Canis lupus familiaris: one gene and its partner. The protein of the gene in region 2 purifies or fractionates together with the protein of the main gene of each other region. This does not show direct contact. Links are inferred from orthologs where the notes say so. Each region holds a gene or a part of one and is shown on either strand. Other genes may lie near its edges.

The links. The genes of interacting proteins can lie anywhere in the genome.
Region 1: the proteins of RFC5 (region 2) and ATAD5 purify together in Homo sapiens (affinity purification with mass spectrometry; 4 studies listed by BioGRID and IntAct, counting the BioPlex papers as one, with this or other methods). This does not show direct contact. The link is inferred for Canis lupus familiaris from reciprocal best matches to the Homo sapiens genes RFC5 and ATAD5.

Annotation. Positions count from the first base shown.
Region 1 is NC_049230.1:40,865,647-40,869,302, forward strand, and holds part of ATAD5 (ATPase family AAA domain-containing protein 5), read right to left. Parts: intron 2,975-3,656; coding exon 2,817-2,974; intron 2,207-2,816; coding exon 2,047-2,206; intron 1,614-2,046; coding exon 1,299-1,613; intron 1-1,298. UniProt on the Homo sapiens protein: Has an important role in DNA replication and in maintaining genome integrity during replication stress.
Region 2 is NC_049247.1:14,768,870-14,772,525, reverse strand, and holds part of RFC5 (replication factor C subunit 5), read right to left. Parts: coding exon 3,648-3,656; intron 3,245-3,647; coding exon 3,115-3,244; coding exon of another isoform or gene 3,085-3,114; intron 2,540-3,084; coding exon 2,462-2,539; intron 2,179-2,461; coding exon of another isoform or gene 2,114-2,178; exon of another isoform or gene 1,938-2,113; intron 1,916-1,937; exon of another isoform or gene 1,672-1,915; intron 1,301-1,671; coding exon 1,246-1,300; intron 1-1,245. UniProt on the Homo sapiens protein: Subunit of the replication factor C (RFC) complex which acts during elongation of primed DNA templates by DNA polymerases delta and epsilon, and is necessary for ATP-dependent loading of proliferating cell nuclear antigen (PCNA) onto primed DNA.

The DNA.
Region 1 (3,656 bases), on a different chromosome or scaffold from region 2:
AAGTAAATCTTAAAAAAGAAAAAAAAAGTACACATTTAGAAGCGCTTGGCTGGCTCTGTGGGTAGAGCATGTGACTCTTGATCTTGGGATCATGAGTTCAAGCCCCATGTTGAGGGTAGAGATTCCTTAAAAAAATTTTTTTAGGGGATCCCTGGGTGGCTCAGCGGTTTAGCGCCTGCCTTCAGCCCAGGGTGTGATCCTGGAGACCTGGGATCGAATCCCACGTCGGGCTCCCTGCATGGAGCCTCCTTCTCCCTCTGCCTGTGTTTCTGCCTCTCTCTCTGAGTCTCTCATGAATAAATAAAATCTTTAAAAATTTTTAATATTAAAAAGATAAATATTAGCACATATTTAAAACTTTAATAATCACTAAAAAAATGAAACATGAAAAATAATGTATACTGTAAGAAATAATCTAAAGAGCAAAGAAAGGCAGGGCAGCTCTGGTGGCGCAGCGGTTTAGCACCACCTGCAGCCCAGGGCATGATCCTGGAGACCCTGGATCAAGTCCCATGTCAGGCTCTCTGTAGGGAGCCTGCTTCTCCCTCTGCCTGTGTCTCTGCCTCTCTCTCTCTCTGCATCTCTATGAATAAATAAATAAAATCTTAAAAAAAAAAAAAAGAGCAAAGGCAGTATAATTTTAGTGTAATTTCCTTTGACTCCTGGAAAAAGAAATTAAAACGACCTACTAAGTCAACTTGGGTAAATGGAGATGTGCTACTCCCATTTGAGAAGACGGAATGTTGTAAAGATGCCAATTCATTCCAAATTAATCTATACACTAATGCAAAATCAAAACCTAAGGGGATTTGTGGGGGTAGGAGAATCTGTAGGTCTTTCAGCAGTACAGCTACATAAACATAGTTTTAAAAAATGATAGGAAATTTGCTGTATAAATATCAAAACACACTTTAAAGCTATATAACTGGATGACTTAATTAATTTAAAAAAATATTTTGAAAAAGCTAGATAACCCAAACGGGAACATGTCAGAGACACGTGAAATAGGTATAAATTGTATAGCATTAAAAAATAATAATGATAAATACATAAAAATTGTATAGTACAATTCCAGGTTTTTAAAAAAACACATATTTACAAAAGCACAGAAAAATCAAAGACCAAACACCAATCTATTAAATGTGTCACTGTGTCAGTGTGTAATTAATAAGGCTTCCACTTTTTGTTTTATATACATATATAGCTTGAATGTTGCAATGAACATGTATTAAAAAGAGAAAATGAAGGGTTAAATAAACAAAAGTGTTGTAGGAGCAGAGAAAGAAGGTCTGATTTACCAGGAATAGGAGATCTTTCTGAGGGAGACTCTTTGCCATCATCTATTATCAGAACATCAGGATCTTCAACTGCTTCTGTTTCTACTTTACACGCTATACTCAAAGTAGTTTGTTTCTTCCTGGATGTTTTAGAAAGGCCTTGCTTTATCCTATTGGAGTTGTTTCTCTTGTCAAGTTCTTCTGGTTTCTCATTTATCTTTTTTGGACTTGGTGAAGACTCATTTGGTTTCTTTCTTTTTGACTTATGAATGTCTGTTTCCACTCGTTTCCTTTTGGTTTCCTTTTGATTGACATCAGGCTCTAGTTGTGGACTTTCTATTTCAGAAATTACAGAAGTGCATGTGCTTACTATTCAACCAAAAACCAATTTTAATATCCAGTCATCTATATATATCACTTCAAAATATCCAATAATTTTTTTACTCCAAGATAAAGAGGTAAGGATCAAATGTGGCACACAATGAATGCAATCAGGACATCTTGTTCTATAGACTGCCTTTTACACAAAGTATGTAAATTCAAATGATCTCACCTAAGGCTTTCCTTAAATGAACTATTAATGTTTTAACCTAATAAAATCTGTCTTTGGGTTTGCATGGTAGGGGCCAACACTGCACTGACCAAGATGCTTTATTCCAGTTGAACAGCTGATCATCAGCAATATTCTCTCTGGACTTCCAAGAGTCAATGACGAAGTCTTAATGTTTTCAAAAGCAAAATGTTAACGTAAATGATAACTGTCACTAACCTTGTTTACGATGACATTCAGAAAGTACTTGGTGCTCACTTCGTTTTTTTAGAAGCAAAGAAAAATATGTCCTCAAAGAAAACTCAGGATTTGACCACCTAATTTCCTCTAGCAAAAGATTTCTTATTTCTTCAGTCATATCTTTCCTTCTGTCCACAAACTGCAATAAAGAATAAAATGCTCAACAACAGACCTACATTATCTATTTTAAGATTTTTTTTTTTTTTTAAGTAATCTCTATGCTCAATATGGGGCTCAAACTCACAACCCTGAGACCAAGAGTTGTCTGCTCCACTGACTGAGCCAGCCAGGTGACCCCTACATGATCTATTAATATTAGTCACCAACCACTTTCTAATAAGTCAGTATTAATGTAGGAGTAGTTTTAGTGACTAAATACAACATTGACAGCAAAGCTGCATTTGCATAGCTTTTGAAGGATTTCATTCATATTTTTATTGTTTCCTCTTTCAACTAACTGTAAGTTATACATTTATCAGATTAGAATGCTGACATATACAATACCTAAATGTGCTATATATAACCTAATATTCTTTTGAAATTGGCTACCATTAATTCTTAAAATGTTTCCAAAGCTGTAGGAATATTTAAAAGAGATGTCTACCTCAACTGGGATTTATTTTTTTAAATTGGACTCTAGGGGAAAAAAAATGAACTTTAGATGACAATAGTCGATATCCATTTTTTTTTTTTCCCCTCTGAGAGATGTGAAGGAAACACCCTACAAAGGATGAGCTCTCTATACTTACCACAACCGTAGAATTAGTAATTTTGGAATTTGAATTCAATGTTGAAAATTCACCAAGAGCAAGAACACATTTTGAGAGATCTATTACTCTAGTATTCAGTTCTTTAAGTTTGGTTAAGAGAGGGCAAGTAGGTGGTTTCAAATGCCACAAGTGGCATCCTAAAGAAAAACAGAAAATAAGTATCTTAATTACTTTCCTTCATATACATTCAATGCCAAATATGCAAACATGCAAAGACCTGACAACTACACAGTTAACACAAAGATACCAAAACTCAAATGACTATACAGGGAACCCATCCTCACTTCCAATAAATACAATTAATAAAAAATTAGTGAATCTTCTGTTCCAATTGTTTAAAATAACCAAGTAATAGCAAACTTTCTTTTCTTTTTTAATCAACCTTGCTATTCAGGGTAAAGATTTCAGGGGCAGTTAGCATCCTGCTCTAAAGTTTAAATTCTGAAGTCAGACCTGGGTTCAAATCCAAACTGTGCCACTTGCTAGCTAGGTGAGCATGAGCAAGATCCTAAACCTTAGCTTTTTCATCTGTAAAGCAGAGGTGACAACTATAATAATCAAAACCTCCTAGAGTGGATATGGAGATTAAACTACTTATGCACACATATGATACTAGTAAATCAGTATGTAATAACTCTTAAGGTTCTAAGAGAGAGATTCTCTCTGGGCTTCCCTCATCTCATCTACAAATATATATGCTAAGTTTGACAGCAGCGCTCTGGTGAAAATGTGTTTATCAATACCAGGGAAGAAGAGTGTAATTAATTTCTATAGTTGAATATAGTAATACAAATGCTGTATAAAATTAACTGGTGAAAG
Region 2 (3,656 bases):
TGGAATATTATGGACAGCTACCTTTTGACAACAGAATGATAGAGTTTGAAGGTGGAACAGTTTGCTAGAGAAAAGCAGGTAATAAAGCTTCATCCCAGACAGTCATCTTCAGTATGTGCCCTAACGTTTTCTTCTCATTTATACATTCGATTCAAACTGGTAAGGGGAGGGCAGCCTGGGTGGCTCAAGCAGTTTAGCACAGCCTTCAGCCCAGGGCGTGACCTAGGATGGAGCCTGCTTCTCTCTCTGCCTGTGTTTCTGCCTCTCTCTCATGAATAAATAAAATCTTTTAAAAAATGGTAAGGGGAAATTAAAAATTGATAGTTATCAATGACAGTGTTCTGAACTGAACTTCATGCTGGCTCTATAGACATACACAGAATTTACATGATAAGGATTTACTTCTTCACTCACAAAATGCATTCAGAGAAATTGTTCCTCTTTTTTATAAGTTTTAAAAACTTATATATTTTTAAATTTGTTCATGAGAGACACAGATAGATAGAGGGAGGAGCAGGCTCCCTTCAGGAAGCCTGATATGGGACTCGATCCCAGGATCCTGGGATCACGCCCTTGAGCTGAAGGCAGACACTCAACCACTGAGCCACCCAGGCATCCCCATCTTGCCACCTTTCAAGTGCCTAGTCAGTGGAGGCAAAATCATGACACTCATTACATGGAAGTGGTGACCTAATGTGTGCATGTGAAGGCCAATGACAGCAAATTAGAGTTGATTCTCTGTTGGTGTCTGTTTCAAACCCAGTGCTCCTCTCCACCTAAATACTAGCTGCTAGCTTCACTGGGGCAAATACCTGCATTTATGGAACCAGGCAAAGTGGAAAACAGAATTTATGTTTACTCTCCCCCCAGTATGGTTTGCTATGCCAAAATGCTTTCATAACAGCTGGATGGCTGGTTGTCCCTGAATAACCGAGATGTTGTAACAGCTGCGGGCCTCCCACAAGTGGCTCTTCTAGAACCAACGTGGACTCTAAGCCTTTGAGGTGTAAGGAGAGGCCTTTATCTACAATATGTAACTGAGCTGAACCTGTCCTTGTATTTATTCATGTTCTTTAAGCAAATCCTACCGTTCCTGTTTCTTTCAGTGATCCCACCAAAAACTAGATTGTACCACAGGGGATTGATGCAGACAAGCAAGTTGGAACCAACCAGGCAGAAAAAAAAAAAGAAAAAAAACACAACAGGGTAAAAAAGGGAAAAGAATCAAAATTGGGGTTTACTCACTCTATGTCTGCCATTTTGGTCAGTAAATGTACTCGAACCGAAGATGGAAAGTCAACTAGGGAAAAACAAAACTGAGTGAACAAGGGTCTGCCATCCCCTACTACTAAAACAAAACCAAACACACAATTATGAACTTAAACAGCAGGAGACACTAAACTTGTCTAGAGGGGGATCCCTGGGTGGCACAGCGTTTTGGCGCCGTCCTTTGGCCCAGGGCACGATCCTGGAGACCTGGGATTGAATCCCACGTCGGGCTCCCGGTGCATGGAGCCTGCTTCTCTCTCTCTCTCTGTGACTATCATAAATAAATTTAAAAAAAATTAAAAAAAAAACAACAACAACAAAAAAAAACTTGTCTAGAGGCCTGAGGTCACTAGGTGCCATACCTCTAAGGAAGTGATCGCTGCAGGAGTTTTCAGTTTTTACCTATTTGGTGAACAGGTTCCAAAGCAATCACAAGAACACAGGGAAGAGTCAACCACGCTGCTTTAGCAGCAGGGTAGGTTTTAAAAACAAATCCATCGATCTGTAAGTATTCATTTTCCACAATCAAAGTGCAGAGCTGGGCTTGAGCCGACCATGTTCTTGGGCAGCGATCAACCTGCTGCTTGGCCCTGGGGAGGCCCACGGAGGCACTGGCAGAACAAGCCATGGACCTGTCGGCAGTTGGCTGTGGCAGAGGAAAGAGCCTGATGGAAGAGGCCTCGGAACAGACCACCCGGAGAGCCTGAGGAAATCCTGATGCTTGCTTGGTTCCCCCCAAAAGGCCAAGTGACTTGGTCTGGGATGACTACTATGTGCTGCCAAGGTGGAGAACCAGTTCTCTGTATGGTAGATACGGCCAAGTGTGCAACTTAAGATGGTTTAGTTAAGACTGCTCTGGTTTACATTGAAGATAGTTCCTTCTCTTTCTCTCCTTTTGAGGGAAAATACCTTTAGAAATGTGAATGAAATGTACTATTTTACTGCTGTAAAATTTAAACCCTTGGAGGAAATAAAGTCAGCCCTCTGGAGCTTCTTCCCTCAGGAGCTTTAGAGGTTAAGAGTAGTTTTGGAACAGTTTTAAATACTAAAGAAAATTGACTGCAGGGCCAGGGTTTATACTTCATTCTCATCTCTTTGCTTCAAAAGCGAAGCCTCATGTTCCCTCCCTCCCTCCCACCCTTAACTCCACTCGCCTCCTCTCCCATCTCAACTAGGGAAGAACGAGAGTTACCTCTGTGCACAAACAAGTGTATCTCTGTCAGGATATCATGGAGTGCCAAGCCCTTCAGCGTTTTCAACTCCATTATATCTAGAGGAACAGTTAAGGCAGAGGGCACAGGTTCCAGAACAAACACACACCATGGAATTCTGAACCCAGATTCCGGTGAGTGGGAAGGAGGGCTTTTAGCCCCAACCAACAGAGTGGTTTCTCTCAATCTGAAGTTGCATGAGGTGGACTCCACTTGTTACCTTTTCCATGTTTCCCATTTTCCACAAGGGCTTTCTGGCAGAACTGTGTCTCTGCCTAGTAGAGAACAGAGCCCACCCATTCCCCTGAAGGCTTCCTATCACTGCCCCTGGCTTTTAATTTCACAGCAAAACAAGAGTAACACCTGCCACCCCAAGATCTGACTGCTGCTCTCCTCTGTGAGGAAGGTGGCTTCAAGACAGACCTATGTCACACTCCTTCAGGAAGAACTTCAGGGCATTAAAGACAGGACCCACTCCACCCACAGACACCGTTCATCCACAGCAAGCCGACCAGCCTCTGGAGTAGCCGTGTTTAGCCAGCAGGGTGCAGGCACTGGCTGCACCCTGGGCTCCCAGGTCACACTTGGGCCTGAGATACAGCACCTACTGTCAGCAGGACACAAGGAAGGATACTCCTGTAGGCTGTGGTGAAGTCTTGATTCAACATCCAGTCCAGAATGTTAGCAATGTCTGACTTGAGGGGGTGCCCGGTACAGGTGTAGACCGTTTCCTCTGTCACCTTCCCGAAGGCCATATTGGTGCTCTGTGCAAAGAGGGAGTATCGTGGCTGTCACGGCAGCCACCACGGTGCAGGCGGATCAGGAGGAAGCTGAGGCAGCACTGCACATGCGCAGTAAAGTGACTGGGCACAGGTCAGCTCGAACGCTGCACAGTTTACCTGGTAAGACTTGGCCTCAGCTGGAAGCATGAGAAGATGCCGCTGCTGTGTGCCAGCCAGAGTCCTGCCCTAGCTTTCCCTCACTGGCAGCACGTTATTCTTTCAATTATTTAAAACCCAAAGGTGGGGGGGGGGGGATTGTTGGTACATGATGAAATTGAGATCTTACCGCTCTCTAGATTTCTGAATTTGTAGGTTGGCTGTGCTGCTGCCTACCTAGAACTCTTCCAAAGCAGCAGCTTGAGATCTGCTACGAGTAGTACTGTACCTGCAAAAT